2 linked regions of the Caenorhabditis elegans genome follow. The protein of the gene in region 1 interacts with the protein of each later gene in a pairwise test. Each region holds a gene or a part of one and is shown in the gene's direction. Other genes may lie near its edges. The genes, in order: K02C4.5 and sma-1.

The links.
Region 2: the proteins of K02C4.5 (region 1) and sma-1 interact in a two-hybrid assay, tested with the Caenorhabditis elegans proteins (one large-scale study listed by BioGRID).

The regions. Positions count from the first base shown.
Region 1 is NC_003280.10:8,076,246-8,080,177, forward strand, and holds the start of K02C4.5 (FCH domain-containing protein), read left to right. Parts: upstream 1-2,189; 5' UTR 2,190-2,211; coding exon 2,212-2,258; intron 2,259-2,729; coding exon 2,730-2,795; intron 2,796-2,851; coding exon 2,852-3,317; intron 3,318-3,732; coding exon 3,733-3,932. Other genes in the region: K02C4.2 (DUF19 domain-containing protein), read left to right, coding at 1-173, 421-476.
Region 2 is NC_003283.11:11,897,698-11,901,629, forward strand, and holds the start of sma-1 (Spectrin beta chain), read left to right. Parts: upstream 1-1,751; 5' UTR 1,752-1,866; coding exon 1,867-1,933; intron 1,934-2,210; exon of another isoform or gene 2,211-2,382; intron 2,383-3,410; coding exon 3,411-3,673; intron 3,674-3,932.

The DNA.
Region 1 (3,932 bases):
TCGTCAAGGAGAATGTGTATTTGAATGTCTGTATCCTGGTAGAAATGCATGTACTCGAAAGTTGAAATGTGATCTTTACTTGCCACCTGAAGACGAATTTTTCAAAACTTTCTATTTGTGTGCTGAGGAACAACGATTTTTCAGCAAATCTGAGCAGATGTATGCTTGTATTTGTAAGTTTTTGTTTTATCAATTTGAAGTCACTGTAAGTTGAGGTGTTCAAATATAGGCTAAACTTTTAATGTACTCTGTTTTAAATTAAAATAATTAAAACATACCGCATGTCACTTTGGAGAACTGCCGTCTACCGCTATTCTTCAAATCAAATTTGAATAAACACAGTCTTCCCTACCTAGATTTTATATTCAAATGTTTTGATATCTTTTTTTTATATAATTTTTTATAATTATCAATTTTCAGCACATCTATTCGTGTCAAGTGAAACAGAAGAACCAATCCGAGCGAGAGCTTCATAACATTACCCCTATGACGAATGTAAATACTTAATTTATTGTTGTTTAGATAGATTTATTTTAGATTCACTTAACGATCTTTGTTTAAAAGAAAAATAAAACTGTCATAATATTATAATTCCATGATATTCTCTTTGACACCTGGGAAATAGGTTATGGGGGTTCAGTCTGTCCGTAAGAACCAAAAAAAACGTCGAGACTGTGCATGAAGCATTATATCGGGTTAGGCCATCTGCCACAGGCGTCCCTCTTCCGTGTACTATTTTCCCATTCCGTTCCTCTTTTTTCCCATTGAAAAGGTCATTCGGAATTGAGAAATGGAGATTCTGGCGACTCTATTTGACTATGCTTTACTCAATTTTATTTTAATTTGCACTTTCAGTTTCCCGCTATTTTGTTCGAGAGCCGCAGCGCGTTGAGCTCATTTTGAGATTTCCAGAAATAAGCAATTATTTTCATATAAGAAGCATGATAATTGTTAAATCCATTTCGATGACTAAACTCGATGACATACATATGTGTTTTGGATATACTATTCTTGATTTAGAATGCATTGAAACGAGCGCCAAAAAAATTTTCTATAAAACTTTTGAGGCATTTTTTCGAATTGCTGTTTTATGAATTATTGGTTGATATTATGAACTTCCAGTAAGATCAATCAATTGAATTAACAATTTTTATTATGTTGGCTTTCACACATTTGCCACTGTTTTAAAGTCTTTTTCCTTAATTACTTAACTTGTGAACTTATTAAAAATCACTGGAAATTTCAGAAAAAAATCACTTCTAAGGAATCGGGAAAAGTAAAAACTACTTGAATCACCTTATCAATAATCACTGATCTTTCACATTCTTGGTACATCATCATTTTTACTTATTCTCTTTTCTCAATTTTTTGACATTAAAAAACATATTTGCTCTAATAGTAAGAGCGCCAAAAGTTCAGAAAATTGTAAACTTTATTTTCAAGACATTCAAAACTTTATAACAGATGTTATGAATATGTAATTCTTCTCTGAAAATTAAAAAAAAGTAAATGTTCATCTGTATACTTGATAAATTTAGTAGAGTTTATTGCCGTCTAAACTATAAAATTGAGAGATTTTTTTCAATTTATACATGAACATTTATGCCCAGTGTTTTTGAAATAAAAACTGCACCGTTTGTTACAACCTCCAATTTCCAAAATTTTGAAAAACATTTCTTTGATCAAAAGAAAAGGATTGACTACCTTCACCTACCTAGACGACCTTCACCAAAGTTGCAATACGGGAATTTACTGGCCGGATGAAAACTTATCACTATCCATTTAATTCCATGTGCCCTCGTTTTTTCCTTAACTTCATTTATCTCTTGTATCCAACATAAAGTTTGTCCCCCCAAATCGCCTAGATTTTTTGACGATCACTCATCGATCATTTTCTCCTTTTTCGTTGTTCCCTCTCTTTGAATCCTTTTTCTCTCATCTTCTTCTACAATGAATTGAGGCCGTGTGATATGATAAGCAATCGATTTATACTTTTCCTCTCTTTAAGAGGAATGCTTTTTCTCTTGCTTCACCCTTTCCTCTTAAAATGATTATCATTCATTTTTTGAGAGTTTGAGCGAGCGTCACATTTTGTTATCACAAGAGAATTGACATTTCAGCCGTGTCACTCACTATCCGTCATCGATATTTTCAATATTTCAAACTTAATTTCAAAAATATTCCATTTATTTCAGTAATCAACCGGAACAAATGACAACTCGCTACGACTATGCATTGCTTGAATTTACAGCCAATTTGTAAGTTTAAGGATTTTGAAACATTTTTCGCATTGATGAAATGGGGGCTTTAGAATTAAAATTTCAATATTTTAATGCGCATTTTCATTTTCAAAACATTTCCCATGATATCGAGATTAAAAAATTGCCACGTCAGATATTCCTGATTCCTGAATTCCTGAAAAATGTTTCTATTGAATGAATGATCGAATGATTTCTGAAAAAAAAGGAAAATTTTTTTCTGGTTCTAAAAAATGTCTTTATACCCTTCAGTACTACGCACTCATATGAAAATCACAATGAGAACAACACAATTTTCGTATTTTCTCTAATAGTGAGGCACCCCATTTCTCAACATTGGCTGCTCGTATTTTGGTTGGTTTTAGTTTTGAAAAAATTGCCAACTAAACCCAGTTTGAGTTTTCTCACTGCTTAAATAGGATCTACAACTAAATCCAGCTTACAATCGTCTAGAACTGCAATCAATTACAGGGCTGAAGCAGAAGCCAACTATGGTCAAAAGCTGCAATCAATCATTGACACATTCTCACAATCGAGGTGAGAAGAACGGTTGTCTGATATCTCTTCAAATAATAAAATAAACCAGTTTTTAGACTAGACCTCCCACTAAAAAGATTATCAGAAATCGCAAAAGTGCACAGTCGAACGGCGAATAACTTGAAAAAATATATGGATCCAAAGAAGAATGAACATTTGAACTTATGGAAAATGTGTAATGTCTATTCATGTGGGGCTGTAGATTTGGATAAAGCAATGAGAGAGACAAGATCATCATTGAGAACAAAAATGGCTGTAGATGGAACTGTAATTGAGAAACCAAAACGACGACATTTTTTCAATTCAATTCATTCGCATCTGAACTCAACAAAACATTCAGAAACAGAAAACAGCGGGAGAAGATGGTTTCCAAAACTTCCTGAAAGAAAATCAGAATTGAGATCAAGTCGAAAAAATACAAGTTCTTCTCTTGAATGTATTGAGAAGGATGAACGAGTTCTAGCTGGATCTAAGTCAACTCCACCGACACCACCTGCTATTAGATCTCATGCACAATTACAAGTTAGTTGAATTTTATTTATTTTTAAATTATTGATTGAAACAATGAAACAAAAAATAAGGAGGCTTTCTAAAAGTTTTATAAGTTTGAAAAATTTTAAATTATTAAAACTACCCAAATTTAACACTTTTTATTGAAGGCATGAAGAGAATTTTCAGAAAAGTATGCTTCCATGTTTTAATTTATCTCATTCCAATGAATTTCAATTTTTGAAAAGGTGCAAAAAAGCATGGATTCATTAGGATGGGTCTCGCATCGAAAAGTAAAACCGATGAAAACGAGGAATTTTGTTCACAAATTCTAGATAAAAAGCTACCATAAAAATTATCGTGGTGAGACTGATCCGAATGAATGTGTGCGCCTTAAAGTACGCGATTCTGGAGACTGTGAATATCCGATAATAGTTTTCAATTCCAGGCAAGTCCATCAGTTGCACCGGATACTCAGTTAAAACCACCTCGACCACCGATTCGTTCAGCGGTTCCTGATCCTCCATCAACAATTCCACCACCAGTACCAATTTCCTCTCCACCTCAAATCTACGCAACACCGATCTATGAAGATCTACAAAAAGCATCGAATCCTTATGTTAACAGTAAAAATAATAGAATTGGAAT
Region 2 (3,932 bases), on another chromosome or scaffold:
TTCGCTAATACTAAACGAAACTTATCGCATTTACATTCTCACACTTCCACTTTTCAAAAAAGTAAAGAATACTACTTGTAAGGTGGTAGTGGACGACTGTCGGTGTCGGTTTTGTCGAGATTTCGTCTTTCATTCGACTGATCGGACAACTAGATACACTGAATTAGGTGGTGAAAGAAACTTTTCTTTTGAAAAAGGAGAGACCTACGTTTTTCTTGTCCGTTTCATTTCACTGCCTTCTGCCAAAATATGTGTGTTTTCTCACTGTTTTATCATCCTTTCAAAGTCTTGATTTTTTGGCTCGCAGTTTTTATGGTTGTCGTGGAATTGTTTGGTTCTCTGTTCCTCTTTGCCACAAAAAGTTTGTTGACTGTAGGTTAAAATTCAGTACTCTTTTAAAGATTTTTTTTACTGTAAACTACACGATTGTGAAAGAAACTTAGTCGTATTTTGTCAGCTTCAGATTTCGGCAAATGTTTGAGTCGGGAGTACAGCTCTGTTTATCTACATTTCCATTCTCTTTTCAAAAGTTGTTTCCCAAAACACCTGTCGACCTGTTACCCGTCCATAAATCATGCCAATATCATTGTCAATATGACGGCGTTTATGGTCAAGTATACCTCAACGAAATGCGTCAACTCTGACGCATCCGTGTTGACAGACGAACTCAACTCATCATAAGTACACAAATGGAAACGTATACACGCGTTGAATGAATAGATTGAATTCCTAGAAATGGGTGTGTTTTTTCCTTGAAGAATTGATCCATATGCGTTGTCGAAAAGTTGTTCTAAAATAATTTTCTGAATAACTAGAAGTTTTACAGTAATTAAAGTTTTTCGTTTGTTCAGAGATACTTAGTATTCTTAAGTTGCCTGTGCATATTCCTGTCATGCCTGTTTAAAGTAACTCCAGTGGGATTAACTATCAGAAACTCTCCCTAAAATAATATACGAATATCATAATAAGACTTTTATTTGAAAAAGTTTTTTGTAGGCAAACACCAAAATAACTAAATGTCCTCCACTCATAATTTTTGAAGTAGTCCGAAACATTTTAATATTCTCATATTTGGATTATGTTTTAAGCATTTTATAGGTCCAAAAATGAGGCATTGTTTTAAACATTTCCAAAAACCGACATTTTCGAAAATTGGCAATTTGCCAAAACTTTGAACAAGAACATGTATGATGTCTTTTTCTAGAAGTCAACAAATATTGTCAACAATAAACAAGAAATCATAAAAAACTATAATAATAAGTGGGCTGCTCATGGATAAGAACAAAAAGCGGTGTTCTTCCTGGCTCTTGAAACAGACATGTTTGAACTCAAGTGCCCCACTGTGGCGGTCAGCTATTTTTGTGTTTGTCAATTTCCGCCACCGGAATCCTCGATTTCTCGCCCATTTCGGCCACCACTCAATTGTTGCCGCCGCTGAACATTCCTTCCGTTCTTTTCCCGTCAGGCGAATACACATATTCGATACTTTTTATCCATCGCGCCGATCGATGGATGTCTTCTAATCGTCTCCGACACTTTCTCCGTTACTTCTTTCTCTCTCTCATCATATTCGGATAGTATTGTATAGAGAGACTCGGCAAAGGATAAACGAACGCCGGACGTCGTTGCAATTGAACACAGAAGAGATAAAGATTATATAAGAAGTTACCTTCTGAAGACTGAGGAGGAACCACCACGGCTACTGTCCGAGTGTCGCCGTGTTTCCTTGACCCTTTTTCTCCATATCTGACAAGAATCGAACACGGATTGTCAAGACTGTTCATAACGGAGGAAATACTACCACTTACTATTTTTCGACTTTGCTATATACATAATATATTCTTGCTAATATTGTGAAGCTTTATCATGTCGTATGTGTCGTTCGCGGCAAGCTACTCGCCTGGAGAAGGCAAAACAGTTCGAAATCTCAATGGTATGTGCTCTTTCATTTTAAATTCTTTGTAATAAGTTTTTCAAAAAAATTCTGAAATTATTAATTTGATTTTGGGCACATCAAAGTAGGTGCAAATTAGTTTCTGCAAACAAATTTTCTAAATTTTTATATTTGTGTTAAGTAGTCTTCTAAATTTTGGCGCTTGAATATATAATAGATCGAAGTAAAAAATTGTATGAATATTGCTAATTTTGGTGTTGTTGTGTTATATGCATTCTTGCACATTCTCACAGTCTGCTGCATTCCTTTCTCTCTTTATTTCTTCGTTCTCTCTATATGGAAGTGGCGAGAGGGTAAATATGCAACACTGCATACCATCAGTAGAGCGTCCATAGAGCCGTGAAGGAAAAGGGCACAGTGATAGGTGGTAGTGTTGAAGTGTCAATACAATTTAGTACTTTTTCTCTTTCCACATATTTTTGTCGCTATTCTAAAGTGAATCATTGTCCTCTGTGTCATTTCGATTTGCAATTTACCAAGTATGAGATATTTATGTATCTGTCTTATTGGGATCTCTATGCTGTGACAGATTGCTTCACTAAAATAAACAAAGTTCCAATAGCATTCCCTCCGTTGTCTAATCCATTTTCTGTTCTCACTTTTTGCCCCCTGGGTTCGTCTTTACTAATGAGTTCAGCAACCATCCCGCGGAGCACATTTCAGTGACTCATTCTTCTTTTTCGCAGTGATAAGACGCTGTTATCAGATGTAATAAACACGGGGAACGCCCCCACCTCCACAATATACCTTACTTTTAAAATTTTGAAAATTTTCGTGACGTTTCGAACTTTCTCTGCTTTTTTACTTGAAATTTAATCTGTCAATGTTTTTTGCTGGACATTTATAGCGATTGCTAAACACGTCTCTTTTTTGTTTAATTGCAGAATAGTTCCAACATTTTCTCAGAAAAAATTTCATTCGAAAAGCTTTCCAATTATTCCATTTTCTTTTTTGTAAGCCTTTTCTGATTCCAGTTAAATATTACTAACTTTGTTTGTGTCGCGTCGTCGTACGACATCCGACGTACAAATTCTTAATAAGTCATATTTCACGTGAACATTATTACGTGAACTTTGCCCACACACACAGAAAATAGTCGCACACATAGGAATGCCACGTGTACCACGTGTGCCACTCTTTCACTGTTTATGTTCGGCGAAACATTTCTTTATTTCAAAAATCTTTCACTTTTCTTGAAAGTATTTTGTTGCTGGATACAATTTCCCGTTTTAATTGTAAGTTAGGTTCAAACTTTTTCTCTGAAAAACGATGTGATTCCAAATATTAATAATCTTTGTCTTTTTTGTGCCACGTGGGCGTCTCTGTTGCATATCATTTTGATCATTATTCTCTTCAGAAATGTATATATAACTTGTCTTTCTTTTTTCTCTATCTATTAGTCACTTAACTACTCAAGAAACTTTCAAATTTATCAACTAAAATGTATATTTTTCAGACAAGGTAGAAGGGTATCGCAAGGAGATTGCCCCAAGTCGCGAAAACGTTGACTTCGATCACTTGCGAAGAACACCTAGAGATCCTTTACCGGAGAACGACTATCAGGCGACGAGCAGTACTGGATTATCGAGTGGGGAAGTAAAACCCTACCAGTACCGCGACTATCACCAACATCAGAAGCACGAGTATTACGGCGAAGGAGTGAACGACGGTGTATCTGAAGACAACGTTGAAGACAAAATGAGAAAATACGAAATGCAGGCAAGTTTATATTTATGAACTAGACAGGCTTTTTAAAGTAGCATCAACCTGTAGATCGAAAATGAATGTTTAAACCTATTATGATTGGATTTTAAGATAATCCGATTACGCGTTTGAAACATAAATCCCAATTTTGCCAATAGTCAAGCCAACACATCTAATATTTTTGTCAGATTGTAGTAGTTGTTTATATTTGCTCTAAAAGTCATGCCGAAAAAGTTAATTTATTCAATATCTATGAAATCAACAGCTTCATCTC